Solanum lycopersicum: one gene and its partners. The main gene of each other region encodes a partner of the protein of the gene in region 7 in a complex. Links are inferred from orthologs where the notes say so. Each region holds a gene or a part of one and is shown on either strand. Other genes may lie near its edges. The genes, in order: large ribosomal subunit protein bL9c; large ribosomal subunit protein cL38; 50S ribosomal protein L6, chloroplastic; large ribosomal subunit protein bL31c; 50S ribosomal protein L27; large ribosomal subunit protein uL5c; large ribosomal subunit protein uL10c.

Region 1 (4,086 bases), on a different chromosome or scaffold from region 7:
GTTATAGCATATAAATATGAATTTTTTATTTGCCATATGTGAAAGTTGCCCTTATTTATATGTGTAAATACAAAACAATAATGTATGAGAGACAGAAAGAGTACGCTTTTACAAGTATGACTTTGATGAAAAAAATATGGCTAAGTGAATGTAAAATACTCTCCCTCCGGATTTAGATGACAAACTTTTTTTTAGTCAATTCTAAAAGAACGATACATTTCTTTATTTGATAAATAGTTAATGACACTGTCAATATTTTGTAGATGACTGGATCCCACTTATTCGACAAAACGTCTACAAAGTTGTGTTCTTTCTAAGGATAGTTTTGAGATATACAAAGTATTTTCATATTTTTTAAACTTCGTGTCCAATGTCCACTACTTAGTCAAGCAACACCACATGAATTGAGACGGATGGAGTATTATGTTGGGCTGTTTTTTTTGGATAAATTTTAGAAATCACATAATTTTAATATGAAATTATAATTCATCCCTCTTTAGTTTGTAATTTCATTAATCCCTTAAAAAGTAACACAAATCGGATACATTTATATGTAACTCGAATACATTAAAGAGTATCTTAGATGCATTATAGCATAAATCGGATGCATAATATGTAGTTCAGATACATTAAAAACTAGATCGGGTACATTATAAAATAAATCGCATACATAATATGTAACTCGGATACATTAAATACTAGCTCGGATACATTAATATGTAGCTCGGATACATTAAAGAAATAATGGATTTTAGAGGTCTTTAGAAATAAAAGGGGATATATGAAAATAAGGAAAATATAAGACGTGTATTTCAGTAAGGGTAAATGATAGAAATCTCACTTTTAAGTTCTCTTACTATTATTATCCCCTATTAGTTTTACAAATCTCCAAAATCCCTCATTTTCACACATCAAATTAACGTATCAGCACATCAAATTAATGTATCTCGCACATCAAATTAATATATATCACGCATCAGATTAATGTATATCGCGCATCAGATTAATGTATCTTGTATAAAGTGTACATCAGATTAGTGTATTATGTATAAATGTAATGTATCGTACTTAATGATTAATGTATCTCACACATCAGATTAATGTATCAAATGATACAATAATATATTATTGTATCATTTGAGAAATTTTTGTAATTATATACTTGTAAAAAACAAATGGTAATTTTGCCTTAAAAGTATGTGATTTCTGTCCTTCGCCCAAATAGCCTAAAATATTATAATTGGACTAAGAAATGGGCTTTACATGAATTGTCCCAATAAGTTTTGTTGGCCCATTAAGACATCCATTATCTTCTTCAGTTCGCCATTACAGATAAGATAACGCTATAAACTGTAAAAAATACAGAAAAACGGAGCAAAAAGTGAAGAAAAGAAGAAGGAAGACTTAGCTATGGCGTCATGGGGTTCATCTTCTTGTCTCCAAAATTACAGCTTAACCAAAAACCCATTTTCCGAAACAGTGAAATTTTCAGAAAGAACTTCAATTTTAACAATTGTTGCTCAGAAAAAAGCCAAGAAAGTTCGAAAGGTGAGCTAATTCTTGAAAATGTGATAATGGGTTGGATTTATAATTGTCAAAATCTCATTTTTTGTCCATTTATGGTTAATAGCTGAATTGGGTATTTTTTGTTTTGATGGAACAGATAATACTGAAAGAGGATATTTCACAGTTGGGTAAAAAGGGAGACCTTTTGGATGTTAAAGCTGGATTCTTTAGGAATTATTTGCTACCATTGGGCAAAGCTCAAATTGTGACAGCTGCACTTATCAAGTAACTCGTTTAACTCTACTTTGAACTAGATTTTTGCCATTTGATTTCATTGCCTTTTAGGTTCTTCTTTCATTAGCTGTACTTTTGTGGAGTTCGCGGTTGTTTGGTAGCTTGGTAGAGTTACGCAGGTATCAGTTATTTCGTCTTGTAACCTGCATAAGATAATACATTATATATTAGTTAGGTAGGTTTTTGAATTACAAATTAAACTTTGTGTTGATTTTATACATGAATAACTTATTCTCTAACTAACTGCCAAACATTGTATTACTTATACATTAAGTTAATATATGAGTAAGTTGCTTTTTTACTAGCTACAAAACACCCCCTTAATGTTTGTTAAAATTGGTTCTGCTTGTGTTGGATGGATTTTTAAGTATTCCTTTTGGAGACTGTTAGTTGATTTTAAGTGTTGAATATTCACATTTCCAATCACCCTGTATAGTTTAACGGCATAATCCACAGTGTGTCATGGACACCTGATGTTGATGTGGCAAATATATTTGGTTGGTGCCTAGATGATCATTTTGTAAGTTGGAGTGTTCAACTGACACAGTGGAGATGAGTTGAGGTGTAGATGTGCATACTCAAAGTTGGAGTGTTTTCTTGCTAGTTGATGCCGAGTTTGAGTGTTTTCTTGCTAGTTGATGCCGAGTTCAAGTGTCTGTTTCTGCATTATGACTAGTTAAATTATCGACTTAACCTTATTATTGAACTCAAGACTTTGGTTCTTCTGTTCGTTATCTTATTTTCATGCCTCATAATTAATGTCAGGATTCTTTGGTTCAACTATTTAAAATGCCACACACAATACTTTGCTTGGCTGTTGATGAGTGGAAGTATGTTATTACTATTGCTTGTTTTGTTTTATCTTTTATCTAAACCAATGGACCTATGTCGAATGGAGATAAAATAGGTATACTTAGTCTATGGGATCCTTTAAACTAATTGTAACTAGCTGAAAAGTGGACGGACCCATGGATTATACATATCTTCGTGCAAAGGTCGTACCAGAATAATCATTTTCGATACTCCTTGAGCAGAAACTCTGTATGGCTTTGGTGTTATAACTCTTGGTCAGTACACAAACTCTGTATGGCTTTTGTTCCCTGAAATAGTGCTTCGTATGATTAATGATTATAGGTTTAAGTAAATTCGCTTCTTTTAACCAAATATAATTTATTGATAACGGATTCGTCTTCAATACAATGTCCCACAATGCATAAGATGGATAATGGTTGGATATAAAACTTTAGATTTCCTACTACTTAGTGACTTTGTCTTTAGCTTTTGGGTGAGCAATAGGCCTAACCAGCTGTTAACATTAATGGTGTGATAGTCCTGTAAAAGTCTTATATATAAGGGATTTGCTATTTCATACTAAAGAACAAAACAAATAGGTGAAGGCTTCGTTAGAGATGGTTGTTAGAAGCAATTTTGGTTTGATATTTTTGATAGCTATTAGCGTGCTTCGCCATCAGTGAGAATTAACTAACTTCATGGATGCATTTTTATTTTATAACATTATGTACTTTTTACTCAGGGAAATGAAGATGGAAGACGAGAAAATTGAGGCTGAAAAACAACGGGTAATTAGATTATTCTGATTAATCTAATCTATTGAAAGTTGAAAAATATATACATTTTTTTTTTATTTTCAAGTCACTAAAAGTCTAAAAGAGTTTCATAATGAATGTGGTTTTAGTTAAACGTTTTTGATTTCAGGTGAAAGATGAGGCACAACAGCTTGCTCGAATTTTTGAAACTATTGGAGCCTTCAAGGTGAAGCGTAAGGGTGGGAAAGGAAAGCAAATATTTGGAAGGTCAGTGAAATACTAAATTGTGATGAGCAACTTGGTGAATATTTGATCTACCTTTTGACGTCATCTCTCTTGCAGTGTCACTGCTCAGGATCTCGTTGATATTATAAAAGCACAGATACAGAGGTACCATTTTCCAATCTTTCTGCCATAGCATGTAAATAGTAGTATGCGAACTAATTACTACTATATGTTCATTGAAGACTGTTAAAGTATATTGTCCTTCATAAGGTTGATCCTGTAATATGAATTTGCATGAACTTGAAAACTGATGTTCTCTGATTCATCTGGTTTATTAAGTAATTCAAATATTTTTCATGCAGTGCTTATTTTCTTGTGTGATTCCTTCTGTGCGATGTTACTTACTCGTTAACATCAGTCATCGAGAACAGTGGAGTATACTGATTCCATTTTCCGTCTATTGCTAGAGCAAAAACTGTTTTTTTGAAGCAATGTGATGTCTGTTTCTTGATCA
Region 2 (2,205 bases), about 60 Mb from region 7:
GATGTTTTGGGCTGATTAGTGCAGATGAAGTTGGTCAATCCATTAATCTTGATGATTCATATAAGTGGGGGAACAATAAAGGTCACGGACTACAAATGGGATAGACTGGCCTATAATATTACTCACAAGGCTAACAGTAGATGCAAAGAGACGTATATGTTTGTTCTTTTATGTGTAAGAATCATACTCAGGTGTATTTTGTATGACCTACTTATTTTCAAGTATCTTTTTCACGGTGTTTGATTGTCATGTAATAATTGATTGAGTCGCCTTCAACATCAAGTGATTGAGTTCACGTTTGATGGATAAAAAACACTATTAATCCTTCTGGAGTGGGGTGATTTTACACATATATATTATAGCAAGGAAAGAGTAATAGGTACACGTGAACTCAAGTTGTGCCTAAATAAGCAACTAATAACAAAAAAGTGTTATTATGGTAATGAAAAAATAAAAGTATCCATTCAAGTGAAGTTTACTTCAATATCATCGAAAAAGGAAGGAAAATGAAACGATTTGACACCAATTGAAGGAACAATTTAACCTTTTAGAAGTAAAGTCATTTCCTCTAAACATGTAACCTACTAATAGTCAACATTCACTTCTCATAGTTATGTCCAAAATACAACTACTATGCTCCATATATTATACAATAACTTTTATATTAAATCATATAATATCAGAGAAAGATTAAAATAATTATGACTAGTTGAAAACATTACCAAACATACAGACACAAGTTGAGGAATTGTGTCCCATGATCTTATAAGATTATTACTCATTTGAACTCAATTAGGCCGTGTACTTTTGACTCTAAATTATATTCACTTATGTACTAAAATTTCATAAACTATTCTTTAATCACAATGACCTTTGGGTCTCTAACTAAGAATTTCTCCGTCTCTGCCCTTTATACACACCGTCCATCGCTCCTATCGATTGTGAAGTTACGTTTAGTTTTCAGACTTAATATATGAACATAAATGGTAAGTTATTATTATACAAAAATATAAACTATACATAAATTAAAGACCAACACTAAATAGAAGCAAAAGTGTAAATGATCCCACAGATTTATTTGGGCCAGACCAATTGTTGTTCTACTACATCCAACACTCAAATAACCCAAAAGGGCTTTAAGGCCCAAATGCCAAACGGTGTCGTAACCTTAGCAGAAACTGAAGTCACCAGAAGATAACGAAGGCAATCCACTTCAAAGGTTCCATTAAACACAGCCAGAAGAAGGAAAAACCTTTGAAGAGAAGAAAAAAGAAAATGTCAGCCTCCGCCATATTCGGGTTGCAGATGGCGGTGTTGCCGCGTTCCTCAACTGTTTCAGCGACCGGATTCACCGGCGGAGCCACCAGGTTGGCGTCGGCACCCACAAGTATCGGGGGATTGGTAATTGAGTGCTCATCTAGGCCACAGAAGAAGGCTACAGCTCACCATAAGAAGACACGTCCACGGAAGACTCAAGCTTGGGATATTCGACGTGGACCAGCTGTTTATGCTCCGTTACCTCCCTTACCATCGGAGTGGTCCTTTGCCAGTGATGAATCGGGTCAACCCGCTGCCGCCGGAGCTTCAGAGTCCGACGCCAAATCTGAGTAATTTTTCTGTAACTTATCATTTCGGCTTTTGTATAATGGTGTTTTCCGTCTGATACTTTGGGGAAATTTGCAACTTGTTCAATTGCAGTTTTGGCGCAATAAGTGATTTGAAATGAATGTTTTACGCTTTACTTTTTAATCTATTCAATGCCACTGGATAATGCCGTAGCTTGTGAGATAATAAACAATATCCTTCGAATATCGGTTCCGTATAATAAAATAGCAAAATTATATATTATGTAAAGCAAATATCAAATGTGATCGGGGAGAGGGGTCTCGTACTAAAAACAATGAATGAGAAAACAGTAGCTATGTTTGTATTTGCATTAAGGCAATATACTCGCTCATTCAACATCGGAATCCTTTGAACTATGTCGCAACAACCATTCCGATCAAAACCAAACTATCCAGTAGATTAGACGAGCCAACAATGTACATTTTATGTTCCTACTGTAAATGGCATATTTACAAAGTATGAAACCCAATTATTTGCCCTCCAGACAACATTTACCAAGGCCTCAAAGCTTTTCTTGAATCTATCAATTATTCAAAGACGGGAAACAAAAAAGACCCCAAGCTCACTTAATTGGAATCG
Region 3 (2,175 bases), on a different chromosome or scaffold from region 7:
AGACACGCACTTCAATTGGTTCTTTCATATTAAAACTCCTTATACTCTCCAACGGCTAGTTAACGACTACTTTAACTTAGGGAAGATCATAACTAATCAGATAAAAACAAGGGAAACTTCCTTTTGAGACATACTCACAGTAGTGAGGTTGAGTAAAACTCTTAATCTTATTCATGTGTATCTGCTCTTTTGAAATTACGGCAAAATTCTAAAGCACTCTCGAATAACCAGGCAAGCCAGTTGTCTATTATGCATTAGCGCAAAACTGCAATAAACAATAGAAATTGTGGGAGTATAATGTGATGAATAAGAAACTTAGCTTACAACTAGAATTTTTAGTTCGTAAAAGTTATCAACTTTGCCAATTATTCTGTAAGTCAAATCTTAGCATCTGTATTTGGTTCGTAATCCAAAAGATACCAAATGGATCCATTATACTCAAAACCCAGCAAACTATCAAAATATGTTTTCTTTCTTCATTTTATAGATATTCTTTTTGAGATGTGCGTGGGATTGTTGGAAATTTGGAAGTATCTCATAAGGAAGTGTCCCTTGTTTTTATCCACTTATAGTTTATTGTTTTGCCCTTACTTTAAATGGTCAAACTAGCCGTTAACTAGTCGTTGTAGAGTTTTAGGAGCTTTAATAAAGAACTAGTTTAGGTATAATAACCATAAATCATAAGGTTTTTGATGCTAGTTTATACTAGATGAGCTTGTTGAATCCTAGGAGATACGTTTATATGATTGAATATCCTTACAGAAAGTGTCATACACACGCCTTAAGCTAGAAGAATATCCATGATTTCAACAATTAGACGTGATTTTCAACTTGGAATTTTCATTTACACGACTCTCGTCTCTGATGATGATGATCATCAGTTTCACAGAATTTTGTGATAAAGGTATGATTCTGCACCCCAAATGATTTCCTCTCAACTTCAAAAGCCATAATATGTGTCTTACACCAACTCTATCAAACATTCTGCCAATACCTACGGACTGTATATAAAATTTTTCATAATCTTATCACTGTTGTTATGTTGGTCAATTCTAGTGACAATGTATAGATGCACATATTTTGAGTGTTTACTCTGAAGATGTTCTTTTTCTTCATCAAACTCGGCAGGACTCTAACTGATAACATGGTAGTCGGCGTTTCCAAAGGATTCGAGAAGAAACTTCAATTGGTAGGGGTTGGATATCGTGCAACCATCGAAGGGAAAGACATAGTTCTCAATCTCGGATTTTCTCATCCCGTTAGGATGGAAGTTCCTGCTGGACTGCAAGTTAAGGTTGAAGAAAACACCAGAATCACTGTAAGTGGTTACGATAAGTCAGAGATCGGTCAATTTGCAGCTTCAATTAGAAAATGGAGACCTCCAGAGCCATACAAAGGTAAAGGAGTGAAATATGCTGATGAAATAGTTAGAAGGAAAGAAGGTAAAGCAGGCAAGAAGAAGTAAATCATGGTACATTTTGTCATTGTTTTATTGTATTTTTCTTAGAGCTATTTTGAAGTTAGGTTCATTTTGCAAGTGACTTGACAAATTTTTTATCTTGTGGATCCCTTTAAATATAAGAGTCACACAATTTGAATATTGTATGTAATCTGGTTTCCCTTACATTTCTTTTAAAGCTGTTCTGAAAAAATTAAACGATTTTCTTGAGCTGAGGGTCTATCACATTAAAAAACAAAGTATGTCGTTGTGTTCATGGAGGTGGTTGCATTCAATAAAATATTTACAAATTCATGAAAAATGAACATAGTTTTAGCAAGAACGCAATCGTTTTCTAAATCGATAAATTATAATTGAACATTTATCTTTCAATAAATTAAATTGTAACCTTTTCCTTTAATATTGAAAATACGTTGTATAAATTCCACACATGAATAAGTAACAATACAAATTTAATCTCAAATATAATTCTTTTGATAACAATACTCGAAACAACGGAACTTAATACAAATGAATGTGAATGTATTCAAACATTTAGTCTAAATAATTGACTATTTTGATAAATAATTGATAATAATTACTCTCCAAAAATATATATTTTAAATGTATTTTTGACCATTTATTTTAATTTCAAACACTTTCAATGAACCAAACTATATATGAGAAAGCAGTAATTATAGTCAAAGCAGGGAAATATACATTTAATGCACATGATC
Region 4 (2,666 bases), about 63 Mb from region 7:
CCTTCCCTTTTTTAGTATGAGAAGAGACCAGCCAGCTTGATAGACAACTCTCAAAAAGCATTTTACACAGTAAACTGCAAGAATGGAAGTGCACCACAGCACCAGTACAACTAACATTAGAACGCTTGGCTAATGCAACCATACAAAAGACAAGACACCAAATCTATAACAGACTTTATTTCATCTTTACTTTGTCAAGGATTCAAGGGACGGCTGAAACCCTGAAACAATCAGCCTTTCCAATCACAGGTATAACATTACACCAAGATAGTGCAAAACGGACAAGTTTCGTTCAGTTTATCAGGTAAAGGGGTGAAAGACAACTCATTTGAAACTATTGAACGTAAACTATGATCAATGAACTACACCTGATCCAAACTGTTTTAAGTTAACACAATTTTTTTGTATCCATTCAGCTCTATTAGGCTCATTACATTCCAATAGTCGAAGCAATAATGGCAATCGAAAGCAAGACAATTCACTGGATTCAACTTAAATGCTCTACCAGCCCAACTAATTGATGAACCATATAACAACAACAGCAAATCCAAAAATTTGAAGAACAAAGACTGAATTTTTATACTTCCATTTTCAAATAATAGACTGAGTTCACAACTGAAACCATCAAAATACAAACACAAAATACACAAAACCCCTAATTCTCCAACAATTTCCCCATTTACGAAACGAACTAAGGGAATTACAAACACACAATAAAGTCTACTTCTTCTTAGTAGGTTTCTTCTTCTTAGGAGGAAGCACAATCTCTCCTTTGAGAGTTGGAATTTGCATAATCTGTGTTAACCCACTAAACTTCTTCCTGAATTTCTCTACCTGGTCAGCATCAAGAAGTAGCTGTGAACGACTACCTTGATAAAAAGGATGATTACCTGACCAAACATCAACTGTGTACTCATTCTTTGTTCCCCCAGTTGTCATCACATGCTCTCCATTACAATATACCTTAGCGTCATCGTAGAATTGCGGATGTATATCCTTCTTCCTGCAGCTCCATCGCATTTGATTGCTCCCAATTCCCATCTGCAAAATTCAATTTTTCAACAATCATATACTTTTTAAAAAAAAAAAAAAAAAGTTATGGGTATGGAGATTTTGGGGAGTTACCTTCTTGGAGGAGAATGAAGGAGGAGCGACATTTTTTTGAAGGAAAGTGTTGGAGAGAGTGAGCGCCATTGTTGGTATTTTTGCAGAAGAAGAATGAGAGATGGAGAAAAAGAGGAACGGGTTGAAGATTAGATTGCTTATCTGAGGATATTGGGCTGTATATTTGATTGGGCTCTACTTGGGCTAGTTTTGTATGATGTTACTTTTGGGCTATTACTTGAAGCCCAAGGAGTAGGTAAGGCCCATTTATGTAAATACTCTTTCAAAAATGGATTAAACTCGTTAGGGTTGTTTGGGATTAGTTATTGATTCGTTATTACTAATTTGATTTCTTGCATAAGTATTGCATATTTTTTTAAGAAAAACTTGTTTGTTGTAAAAATATCATTTACCCTAGTAGAAAAAAGGTTTGACTAATCTCAAAAGTATTTTTATTATTTTATTTTTAAGTAATCGCTGTTTTTGGGTGGGCACATGGTAAAACTCCCGCTCCTATACGTTAGTTCGCAAATCACATAGGAGAAATAATCTGCATTAGGCAAATTCGGTGCGATGAGCTCAACCCAGAATTTACTTTCGCTGGCAAGTGATTTTGAACTTAAGACCTCTAACTTAAAAGTTCCAAGTCTTAACCATCTGGAGAAATAATGCTAATAAAATATTATCTGTAGATTATTTATATTTATACTCATATCACCCACCATGTATAGAGTGTCAATTACGACTTCTTGACCATTGAATTTAATACTATCGGTCTCTCCTCTCCGAGACGTGTAACACAAATTGGCCAATTTATAAATCAAATATCCTCCTTTTTCCTTTGTATCTAGAGTTTACCAAATAGTTTTTTGTTTTTTTTTTTACATATTATTGAAAGATTAATTCAACCAGGCATGATTGATAATAACTTAGTTCGATTATAATCTTTGATAAGAATAAAGTGTTTGAATAAACAGAAGTGATGTTGTGCTTACCGCCATAAGCAAATCCAAGTTATTTATCTTGTCCTACTTTCAATTTTTGTTATCCCACACGTTGTATTGATTCATTAATCTTTTTTTTTAAAAAAAAATAATTTCTTTACTATTATATTTCTTTTTTAATATGCTTTGAAATATCTTAATTTATCAAAAATAAACTCTTCAATTTCATAAAATAAAATCATATGAAATTACACTAGATACATCGATACAATCGATGTTTTTTTTAAGGCATAATAAATCACTACTAGAATACTTCCTCTGACATACAACATGTCGAGCAGTACATTACCAAAAAAAAAAAAAAAAAAACATTATCTAACTTCTTGCTAACTTAAATTAATTCATCTCTAACATAAATTAAATCTCTCTAATTCTCATGATTAATCCTTTAATTTCCTTGCTTTCTTCCACTTCTCTATATTCTTCAACCTTGCATACATTTTTCTAATCTTATTAAGCCTTTTAGATTGCTGAATAATAATATCAGAAACAGATGAACTTTCACTCAATATAATCTCATATCCATCTTTAAATGAATCCATTCCTTCAGCCAAAACA
Region 5 (4,309 bases), on a different chromosome or scaffold from region 7:
GGATTGTATTTGCAATCTCTAACTAAAAATGGTGAAATTCTGAATTATTTTAATTTTCCATCACAATCTTTATCGGTATTTTACTATTACATGTTAAAACCATTGATGTATTTGCACATATAGATTATATAGCATGATGTTGGATTTAATTATTTTATTGTATTAATTTTATATATTGAAATTTAGATATATTTAAAATGTTCACCTAATATTATTTTTTAACCAATAAATATATTTATTCTTTGAAAGAATTAGGTTCATGGCATTTATATTCTCCACTTGTTCTTGTCCTATAAAAGTAAATAAATTAAACAATCTATTTTACTTTAAATATTCTTCTTTTAAATCCTTTAATTTACCAACACAACTTTTGACTCGAGCAATCAATTCCACTAACTAGTTCAAGAAGCATAATATGAGCAATTTTCAAGAATAATGTGGCATTATTGTAGGTCGGCGTGTTAAATAATCGGGTTGAATTAAAATTTAAAATATTAAAATGAGTTCAAATAAAATTTAAGTCGAATCATAACCTCTTCAAATTATGTTAGGCTCAAATAGGATAAACATTGGATTGGATCATGACCTGTGCGATTTGACATGTTTAATCTCAATAATTTAAACATATTGTTATTTTCCTTTAATAACTATTATTTGAATTTTAATTCAATAAAAACAGTTATAAAATTGATATATAAATCATAAAAAATATAAAATAGATTCTAATTTATGCATTCAATATGAGAACATAAATTACACCAATACAAAAAATACTCTTAAAACATGTTGAAATTAGAGATTACATTGGACACAATTAAAAATTATTTTAAAATGGGCTAAAACGTAAATAAGTTGAGATTGATCCAATTCAAAATATCTAGAGCTCCCGCCTATAAAATTTTAAATGAGTTAGACGAGTTATATATATTTAGGCTCATTTTGACATTCTTAACCGTACTTGTATGGAGGTATGCAAAAAAAAATTATTCTTATACTTTTTATCGAAAAATCATATTATATATGCCCGTAAGTAGGAGTATGAAATTTTCTCGATAAAAATTAAATTAAAAATTTTTAAATATGATTTCATTTTTTGAAAATACTTTTCGCAGAATATCAATTTGAGATTAAAAAACGTTTTCAAAAATATAAAAACAATCACTTGGATTTTAGTTTCGAAGAAAAGATATCTGAAAAAACATTTTATTTTACTAATTAAAATCATATTATTCCCCTTTACAAGTTCGATAAAAATATTTACAACTTCAATATTTATAAGCAAAATTAATTTATGTCCATAACTTATGTTCGATAAACGAAACCATTAAACTTAACCCGAAAACAAGCTAAAAAAAGCCCAATTCAAAACGGGTCAAGTATATTATAAAAAGGATGGCTGACATTTCTCTTATCTTTTTATCTCGAAGATTTTGCCATTGTGGCTCCATAATCCCCTCGGTGAGTTCATCTCTTTTCCCCTCTTCTGTAAATTCAATGTTTTTTTCTTGTACTATGTTTAATTGGGTGTTCGAAAATGTATTTAATTTTAGCTGACTCGCAAATCTTGGTTTACTATTCTCTCCATTTCAATTTGTTTGTGTGGTTCGACTTTGGCAAATAATATAAGAAAGTAAAGATTTTTTTTTAATCAAGTGGGGTTGAAGTAAAACTAATGTTATGTCGAATGTATCAAAATGTTGTTTAATGTGAAAAGTTAGAATTGAAGAGTTGCTATTGGAAATTGAAATGGAGGGGGTTAGTATTTATGCTTCACTAGGATTTGAACTTGAGACGTTATGGTTATCAATCTACTTTATTGACCGCTACTAATATTTTAGGTGGACTGCAATCTTGATGAACATACTAGTGTTTATTTTGTTGTTGATACTGGTTTCCTTTGATTCCTCTTTGTTTTGTGGTTTAAAGACTTGTCCTTTATGATTAAATATGGTTCTTTTATGACCAATTGCTTGCGTAAGGACTTATTTGCGGAATATTTTGTGGTGTAGAGTTTGCGAAATGCGTTTGTGGTGGAGGGGGGTTGATGTTTGGTGTAATTTTGAAAAGAAAAACAATGAGTGGAAGTAATGTGTATTGAAATGCAAGAGATATATAATGGAGTAAAGATAGTTGTAATGAGGACTTAAGGTACTTCTATTGTTAGGAGTGTGTGTTTTGTATTTTTTTTGAAGATTGATAATAAGCTCAGCAAATTGGTTTTATATTTTGATAAAGCTGAGTATTAAGAAATGACAATATTATCTAAACAGTGGTTGGAGCGAGCGATAAGGAGAAAGAGCTGAAATCGTAGTAAAAGGAAATGACTTATCTCATAAGTGAGAGTAGTTATTTCCCCCTTTTGATGGAAAACTTTTTTTCTTAGGAAATATGTTTAGGACCATTTTTATCACTCTTCTACTGTTTTAGTCATACCGAGCAGTGTTAAAGTCAGAGTCAAACCTTCTGTAGACTTACTATCAAAAATATATTTCTCCAATTTGTGTTCGCGATGATCCGGGGAAATTTTAGATTGGCGATTAAGATCCTTGGTAGTTGTTATGGTAATAGTTTTGTCCTCTTAGTAGTTCTATGCTCATATTTTTCCCATTGTTAAATATCACTTCCTTTCCTTTAGGCCTCTCATCTCTGATAGTAAGTACCACGAGAGGCTACTGAATTTCTTTGTTTTCTTTGCAGCGTATAAATGGCAGTGAGTTTGAGTCTTGTTTCCTCATTCAAAGGACTCTCCTTATCTTCCAATTCTCTCCTTGGGGTTTCTCTTCCCATTGCCCCTAAGTTCTCCGTTTCCTTCCCGTTGAAATCTCCATTGACAATTGAGTCTGCACACAAGAAAGGAGCTGGTAGCACTAAGAATGGTCGAGATTCTCCTGGACAGAGGCTTGGTGTCAAGATTTATGGTGACCAAGTCGCCAAGCCCGGTTCTATAATCGTTCGCCAGCGCGGTACAAAGGTTTCAATTTTACTTCTTCTGGATCTCCTCTCTCTTTTTTATTTTTGCCTAAAACTCGTATTTGCTGTGGAAGTTCTGATAGTTCTTTTGATTAATTAATAGTGCTTGAAATGAATTCGGATGAACCCACCCAAGTAGAGTGTAATTCCAGTTTTTTTGCTCAATACCTCACAAACATACTAGGTCCTGGCATCTTGTCAATAACTCTGCTCCATTCGTCTGGCTTTCTTCGTTTGGTTTGTATATTATTTGTTAGAAATATGTGGATTGTCTAGAGGGCGTTAGATTGAGTACAAAACAAGGTACTAGAGGGATACATATCTTGTCATTTGAAGTAACAGATTGCTATAAGGTTTAAGGTTTTGAGCTCGTGTCGTGAAGACATAGTTGGAAGTTCTCTTTAAGAAATGCACATTTGTTATAATCCGACTTGAGTTTTTTTTCTTTGCCGAAAGTGTCAGTTTCTGACAGTATGATGCTATGAGTAGATGTCGTCTTCTATCAGTTAGATAGTAAAAGGGTTTATGCCAGAGGTTGGTATTAGTTTTACTTTTTTTCGGCTCTGATATGATCCTGTTATCGTCTGTTTGTTTGCTCTAAGAGTAGTTCAAAAGTTGCATTCTCCGTTTAGCATTGCCATATATTCTGTTCCCTAATCGTTCTCGTGGTGATATTTCCAGTTCCACCCAGGAAAGAATGTTGGACTTGGCAAAGATCACACAATATTTTCTTTGATTGATGGACTAGTCAAATTTGAAAAGTTTGGACCTGACAGGAAAAAGGTTGAGTTCTTTAGCTTACTGCTTGTAGATATGTGGTACACGAGTGTTATTAACGTATACTGACTGTGCAGATAAGTGTTTATCCACGCGAGGTGCAACCTGAAAACCCCAACAGCTATAGAAACCGAAAGAGAGAGTCCTTCAGATTACAACGTGAACGTAGAAAGGCACGAAGAGAAGGTGTCATCCCTGAGCCTCAGTTGATAGTTGCTTCTGCTGCTGAATCCTCTGAAGATAATCCCATCACCACTTGCTGATAATGGTCTTTCGATTTTTCAAACATTCTGTTGTCGTTTTGGTTATTGCTAGTAGCTACTTGGGAACACATTTGCAGGCACATTTTCTAAACTGTGTTTCTGCCATTGTTGTCTTTTTTTGTTTGTAAATTGTGTTACTGAAAGCATGAGTCTTTGTCACAGTTTGTATGAGTACAGAATGAAATGTATGATTCAGAAGATGCAGCTTTGCACAATAGCACAACCAAAAGAGTTTTGAGTTTTCATTCGGTTTAAGTGTTCAGTTGGTAAAATCACAACTAAAATAATCCAATTTCAGA
Region 6 (3,595 bases), on a different chromosome or scaffold from region 7:
AACCAAATCAAATGACATAGAACCTGAAACCACTAAAAAGCACATTCATACACACTTTGAAAGAAAAAACTCTGTACAATTTGAGCAGAATAAAATGAAGCCAAGGGAATAAAGATTCAGCAACATGGTATATACTATAAATAACTGTGACTTTCTAATATGCGAATATAAATAAACCTTAGAGGAAGAAAGGAGAAAGGTGGGGGATCAGGGAGTAGAAATAAGTATGGGACTCCACAGCCTCACACACATCAAGTGTTAAGCATTAGGACAAATTTAGAAAACGTAAATAAGATATCGCCCGCAAATACTCCTTATCACATACGATAAAAGATAAAAGCAGAGATGTTAACTCACCTAAATGTGAATATGGTGGAGCTAACAAGAGAAACTCTTTGCCTGAAATCAAAGTAAATGGCAGACGAGAAAAGGGAGCGGGTAGGAAATATTTAATAACATACAAATTACAGTAATCAAGATTCATGAATAGTAAAAACTTAACTAGAGATAAAAACAATTCTTATTTTTTTTTTTTTAGAGGAAGAAAACGTAAATAACATATATTCGAGACATCACCAGCCAGATGGTAAAAGTGCAATTACAGATTTTTCTATTCAAATTGTACGCCAAAAACAACTGATAAACCACAAAACAGTTAAAAAACAACAAATCAACTCATTATCCCTGGAGATTGGATCCACCTCATCTCCTAGACCTTTGCTTCGCCTTCGAGTCAAAATGGTGAGCTCTAAGCTTTTTCTTTTTCGTAAAAGTTGTCTGTCCACCAGAACCTTCTCTAAATGGCATACCCATGAGAGCCAACAATCTGTGTGCCTCTTTATCTGTCTCAGCTGTTGTTGTTATGCAAACATCCATCCCTCTTGGCTTACCAAGAGCATCATAACTTAACTCTGGGAAGACACTCTGTTCACGAAAGCCAATGCTATAATTTCCATGACCATCAAAGCTATTGGGGTTTACGCCTTGAAAGTCCCTCGTTCGAGGAAGCCCCAAATTAATTAACCGGTCAAGGAACGAATACATTACATTCCCTCGAAGTGTAACAGCAATTCCAAGCGGTTGACCTTCTCTAATTTTGAAAGTAGCAATAGCATTCTTAGCCCTAGTCTTCACAGGCCTTTGCCCTGTAATTAAGGCCAAATCATTCATTGCTGCATCCAAACCCTTGGAATTTTGTGCAGCATCTCCTATACCACAATTTACCACAATCTTTTCGACCTTCGGAACCTAAAACACGGTTTTTCCACATTCCGTATCAAATCAAATTAAAACTAAAAAATAATAATAGAGTTTGAAGCAATAGGTCAATGCAACTAATATTCACTGTGATTTCTCACTCCTCAAATGATAATAGTGTCAAACAAACTAATTTCTCAGCATTTCAACTCTAAAATTCAACATTTAATCAAACAAACAAGAAACAGTTCAAATTTGTAGATATAAGTTGTAAAATTTGAAGCTAAAGAAGTACATATGCTTTGAAATTGAAATTAACTTGAAAAGTATAATTGAAAATTGAATTTGTGTTTGAACCTGCACTAAGCTTTTTTAAAAACTGAAAAATTTGTTCAATTCCCCCATTTTCCCTTTCCCAAGCCCTAATTTTTATCTGTTCTGGAAAAAAAATGCAATGGACAAACGACTCCTAAGTTTACCTGAAGAATATTGGTGTAACTGAATTCTTCCTTCAACAACGGCACAATCTTTTCGAGGTAATTTGTTTTCAGACGATTAACTTTTTCAGCTTCACTTTTATCCACTAGTACTGTTGCTGAAGCTTTCACCGTCAATTTATTGGACGACCGGACCTTGGTATTTCCGACCGGCAATCGAACGGAGTACGCCGGAAACTCAGCATTGTAGAAAGAGGAGGCCGTGGAGTGTAGAAGAAGAGGAGAAGCCGCCATTTTCTCTGAGCTTTTTCTCTCTGTGTGTGAAAAATAAAAGGGTAATTGGATAAGATGTTCTTTGTGGATATAACAGAGTTCTCTCTACTAAATTTTAATTTGTGAATGTTTAAGTAAAAAAAATTCGGATCCATTTCGCCATAGATTTTTCAAGTAAAATTTTTTACGTGAACATCAAAATAATGATGTAATATTCAGTAAATAAGAAAATGACGATATGATTATTGATAAAAGTGACGAACAATATGTTTCGTCTACTTCATAATGTATGCAATGATGCTTGTTGCACTATCTCTGAATTACCATATTGCTTCAGTGACATGGACACTAATTGTTACGATAGTGAATCTTTTTATTCTATTTTGTTATGCAATACAAACTTATAGTTAGTTTTGATAACTTTTAAAACTTATTAGTATACATTTCTTAAAAAAAGTGAAATATGTTTCCAAAAATTAAGCCAAACATATGATGAAATTTATGGTTAAATGTTAGCTTAAGTTTTGGGCTAAAAATTATTGAATGAAGATCGTATCAAATCAGGAAAATTGTATATAATAGCAAACTGTTAATTTAAATTAAATGTTATAAATATACTTTGATTTAATTGTACCCTATAGCAAACTATTGCTATTTCCGCCACTCTCCCTGGTGGAATCTCGCTCGCCACTCTCGTTTTGTGACAGTCTCACTCACCTCTCTCGTTTTTTATACAAACACAATTGTATAAAATGTGTTTGCGTTTGTATAAAGTGAGAGAAAATTGTATAGATACATATAGTTTTGTTCACCTATCTCAAATCTCACTCACCACTCTCCCGAATCTCCCTCGCCTCTCTCGCTTATTCAAACAGAAACGAAATGTATAAATTGCATTTCTGTTTGTATAAAGCGAGAGAAAATTGTATATACACATGTAAATACATATATCTTCGTCCTATACACTTGTAATTATACAAAACAAATATTCTCCTGCTCAGTTTTCTTTTGTCTTTCTCTTTTTCTCGTTTTATACATACACAAATGGCAGATTATACAATTTATCTTTTGTATACAACTGCTTTCTTTTGTATATGTATAGTGAATTATACAACTGCTTTCTTTGTATATGTATATAGGGAATTATGCATATTTATATTTGTCACCGAGCGCAAGTATACAAACTTTGCTATATCATACAAATATAAATTTTGTATTTGTTATATATGAAATTTACTATATCAAATTTTATTGGCCCAACAAAAATTTTTACCAAGAAAATATTGGGGTCTATTAGACTGGAATGAGGTAGGCCCAAGTCTAAATTGGTTTGTGGGCTGGATAATTTTTTGAAAATTTAACGTCGTAGTGGCCCATTTCATTAAATAAACCTAATCTTTATTATTTAGCCAGTTTCTTCACTGGCATGTCTTTGTTTACATTTATAGCCTAATTTCGCTCATTTCTTCTATACTTGTATTTACTTAGATTATTTGAACTTCGTTTATAATTTATTTATTTTGGATGAGTTTACCTTGAATAAAGGTGAAAATAAAAGAATTTCACATCGAATGGGATTGGAACCTCAAAAGTTGTGGTAGAGTAGAAAGTACGAATATATTTTTATCAGAAATTTTAAATTCAGAGTTATAGAATATAATTTCTTTTGATATATAAAAAGTGTTTTA
Region 7 (2,707 bases):
GTAGCTAACAATAGATGCAACGTGGTCCGGCATTTCCCAACAACAACAACACACCCAGAGAAATCCCAAAAAGTGGAGTCTGGGGAAGGTAGAGTGTACGCAAACCCTACCTCTACCTAGTGGAGGTACAAAGGTTGTTTCCAAAAGACCCTCAGTTCAAGTGAAGTAAATGAAAGTACTAACAAAAAGGGAAAACGACAATAAGGAAAACATGAGAACTAGTAATAGGAAAGCACTGCAGAGGATACATGCAAGAAACAATAACGTCAACAATATAGTGCGATCAACATATAACAATAGCAAGAAACTGCAAGAATAAAGCTACACACTTCCTCCAGACTACTACCAAAGCCCAAACTCAGCAAATAGCAAGATCTTAGTGCACCGAGCTGCCCTTTTAATATTTGACAAATATAGTGAGCTGAAGCAGGAATACAGACTATTTTCTTGGTTCAGTGATAATGGAAAGAGCAGAATAGTACATTTCACATAACATAAATCCTCTCAAACAGTTATGAAGTAATCCAGATAATTATCCGCCAAATACGAGGACACAAATTTAGAACAATTGGCCAAGGATAAATTCATTCTACCAAAAACATAAAATTTACAAAATTCCATCTCTCAGAAAAATTTCAAATATTGATCCAAATAGACAATAGTATTAGCTTACCATATCCAAGAATTACAACAAAAATTATTGACTTCCACCTTCTTCCTCCTCCAATTTCTTTACATAAGCCTTAAGAACCATAACCAAATTCCTTGCTGGAGCTTGAATAGTCCCAACAACAGCTGAAGCAGGTCCTTTCAAAGACCCAAGAAGCTGTGAATAAATCTCAGCTCTTGTAGGCAAATTCTCAAGCACCTTAAACTCATCAGGCCCATAAAACTTCCCTTCAAAAACCCCACCAGTAAAATCATTATCTTCCAATTTCTTCTCCCTTAGAAAAGTCCTATAAGGTTTCAAAGCAGCTGGGATTTCTTCACTATGAACAAATAACCAAGCATTCATTCCCTTCATACATGGTTTCAATGCTTCCCATTTTGTCCCTTCAATTGCTTTAAGTACCAATGTGTTCTTAGCAACAAGAAGCTTTGTTGTTTCTGGGAGTTGAGCCCTAAGATCTTGAAATTGCTTAACTGTTAACCCCTTGTAACTGATTCCAGCTAAGAGATAACAATCTTCAAGCTGTTGCTTCACTGTTTCGACTGTTTCTTCTTTCTTGGTTCTGCTAATGGCTGAACGAATAGTTAGAGTTCTGGGTTTGAGTTTGAGGTGAGAACTGGAATGGGGGATTATGAAGGGATTGTTGAAGTGGGATTTCACGGAAAATGGGTAAGAGTGAGAGGAAGAGGAAGGTAAGCTGAAGAGAGCAGCCTCCATTGATGATAGCTTGAGAATTGGATTGCCTTATCTTTTGTGCTAAGATAGAATTTAGGGGTATTTCATAAACTTTATGTTTTTGAAAATATTTATGTCATACCAAACAAACCATTAAAGAAGTTAAAAAAGGCAAAATAGGTGTAATATTTACATATATTTTATCGTCTTTAATTTATAAAATTATGTTAGATATATTTTTATTATTATTATTAACAAAATTCTTGAGATGATTTGATATGATATATAAAAGATAATAATTTCATAAAATGTAAAATTATTTTATCTTATATTTAAAGATATTAATTATGATTCGATCAGTTATTTTAAATATATATTATCATTATTTTCAGATGCTTTATTAATTTTTTTTTAAAAAAATAATATAATAATCATATCAATTTTTCTTCTATATTAAAATATTTTATTAATTTTGTTTGAATTTCATAGTAGAGTCGCATTAAGTATAATCAATGCAAATATTATATGATGTATTTGGCATTAAGGTGTATATAAGATATGGAATTATGTGGATATTAGTAAAAAAAAATATTCATGCATTAGCATAATAAAATCACTATTGCTCTTCAAAACTCTTTTAACATCATTTTACTATATTTGTGAAAGATACTTATATAAATAAAGAATTTTGTTCAAAATTGATGTAATACAGATTATTTTCTTTACGTCAAATCAAATATTAAATATAAAATAATACTCCTATCAAATATAACTCATACAAATATTAATAATAATTAAATTATTTACTACTAAAATTCACCATATTCAATATTATTCCTTCTACACCTCGTCAATCCTTTTTCAAGTATGTATATCTGTATCTACAAGTTTATCAATTAAAAATGCTGGCTTAAAATAAATTTAAAGAGTCAAGAATATTCAAAAATTATTTCTGAATGTAATCAAAATCACAAGTGATATTTTTGTTATTTTCTCTGCTCAGGTCCTAGACTTTGCTTCAATTATATTATATTATATTATTTTAATAAATATAATATTTGAATAGATTGTATCTGTATAGTAAAGACAGAGCGTGAGGTGAAATCTTTTACATAGTATATGGTGAGGCGTATGTCCTGAGACACAAGACGTAAGTCTCATAGTTTTAAGGGGCATAATCACATGTATATTCAATTTTTAGTTTAATTATTAATAAAATAAGCAAAAGTAAATCTTTCAATGATTTATGATTTTTATTTGAGATAAGTATTAATAATCGGTAATGAACAAAAAAAATAATCTATAATTACTTTTTGAGAAATATCATGAATATGATTTGAAGAAAAAAATAAAATAATTAAG

The links.
Region 1: large ribosomal subunit protein uL10c (region 7) and large ribosomal subunit protein bL9c share a complex: the UniProt entries of both Arabidopsis thaliana proteins name them as parts of the 50S ribosomal subunit. The link is inferred for Solanum lycopersicum from reciprocal best matches to the Arabidopsis thaliana genes EMB3136 and RPL9.
Region 2: large ribosomal subunit protein uL10c (region 7) and large ribosomal subunit protein cL38 share a complex: the UniProt entries of both Arabidopsis thaliana proteins name them as parts of the 50S ribosomal subunit. The link is inferred for Solanum lycopersicum from reciprocal best matches to the Arabidopsis thaliana genes EMB3136 and PSRP6.
Region 3: large ribosomal subunit protein uL10c (region 7) and 50S ribosomal protein L6, chloroplastic share a complex: the UniProt entries of both Arabidopsis thaliana proteins name them as parts of the 50S ribosomal subunit. The link is inferred for Solanum lycopersicum from reciprocal best matches to the Arabidopsis thaliana genes EMB3136 and emb2394.
Region 4: large ribosomal subunit protein uL10c (region 7) and large ribosomal subunit protein bL31c share a complex: the UniProt entries of both Arabidopsis thaliana proteins name them as parts of the 50S ribosomal subunit. The link is inferred for Solanum lycopersicum from reciprocal best matches to the Arabidopsis thaliana genes EMB3136 and emb2184.
Region 5: large ribosomal subunit protein uL10c (region 7) and 50S ribosomal protein L27 share a complex: the UniProt entries of both Arabidopsis thaliana proteins name them as parts of the 50S ribosomal subunit. The link is inferred for Solanum lycopersicum from reciprocal best matches to the Arabidopsis thaliana genes EMB3136 and RPL27.
Region 6: large ribosomal subunit protein uL10c (region 7) and large ribosomal subunit protein uL5c share a complex: the UniProt entries of both Arabidopsis thaliana proteins name them as parts of the 50S ribosomal subunit. The link is inferred for Solanum lycopersicum from reciprocal best matches to the Arabidopsis thaliana genes EMB3136 and AT4G01310.

What each region holds. Positions count from the first base shown.
Region 1 is NC_090810.1:57,591,509-57,595,594, reverse strand, and holds the start of large ribosomal subunit protein bL9c, read left to right. Parts: upstream 1-1,265; 5' UTR 1,266-1,410; coding exon 1,411-1,548; intron 1,549-1,663; coding exon 1,664-1,791; intron 1,792-3,334; coding exon 3,335-3,380; intron 3,381-3,516; coding exon 3,517-3,614; intron 3,615-3,689; coding exon 3,690-3,737; intron 3,738-4,086. UniProt on the Arabidopsis thaliana protein: Binds to the 23S rRNA.
Region 2 is NC_090803.1:63,903,516-63,905,720, reverse strand, and holds large ribosomal subunit protein cL38, read left to right. Parts: upstream 1-1,275; coding exon 1,276-1,611; downstream 1,612-2,205.
Region 3 is NC_090811.1:69,213,177-69,215,351, forward strand, and holds the end of 50S ribosomal protein L6, chloroplastic, read left to right. Parts: intron 1-1,128; coding exon 1,129-1,465; 3' UTR 1,466-1,669; downstream 1,670-2,175. UniProt on the Arabidopsis thaliana protein: This protein binds directly to 23S ribosomal RNA and is located at the aminoacyl-tRNA binding site of the peptidyltransferase center.
Region 4 is NC_090803.1:66,609,332-66,611,997, reverse strand, and holds large ribosomal subunit protein bL31c, read right to left. Parts: upstream 1,345-2,666; 5' UTR 1,195-1,344; coding exon 1,126-1,194; intron 1,042-1,125; coding exon 721-1,041; 3' UTR 555-720; downstream 1-554. Other genes in the region: mannan endo-1,4-beta-mannosidase 7-like, read right to left, coding at 2,489-2,666. UniProt on the Arabidopsis thaliana protein: Binds the 23S rRNA.
Region 5 is NC_090810.1:58,850,317-58,854,625, reverse strand, and holds 50S ribosomal protein L27, read left to right. Parts: upstream 1-1,411; 5' UTR 1,412-1,458; intron 1,459-2,697; 5' UTR 2,698-2,704; coding exon 2,705-2,971; intron 2,972-3,651; coding exon 3,652-3,753; intron 3,754-3,824; coding exon 3,825-4,010; 3' UTR 4,011-4,233; downstream 4,234-4,309.
Region 6 is NC_090808.1:1,642,595-1,646,189, reverse strand, and holds large ribosomal subunit protein uL5c, read right to left. Parts: upstream 2,098-3,595; 5' UTR 1,929-2,097; coding exon 1,677-1,928; intron 1,249-1,676; coding exon 703-1,248; 3' UTR 503-702; downstream 1-502. UniProt on the Arabidopsis thaliana protein: Binds 5S rRNA, forms part of the central protuberance of the 50S subunit.
Region 7 is NC_090803.1:3,526,181-3,528,887, reverse strand, and holds large ribosomal subunit protein uL10c, read right to left. Parts: upstream 1,492-2,707; 5' UTR 1,388-1,491; coding exon 698-1,387; 3' UTR 559-697; downstream 1-558. UniProt on the Arabidopsis thaliana protein: This protein binds directly to 23S ribosomal RNA.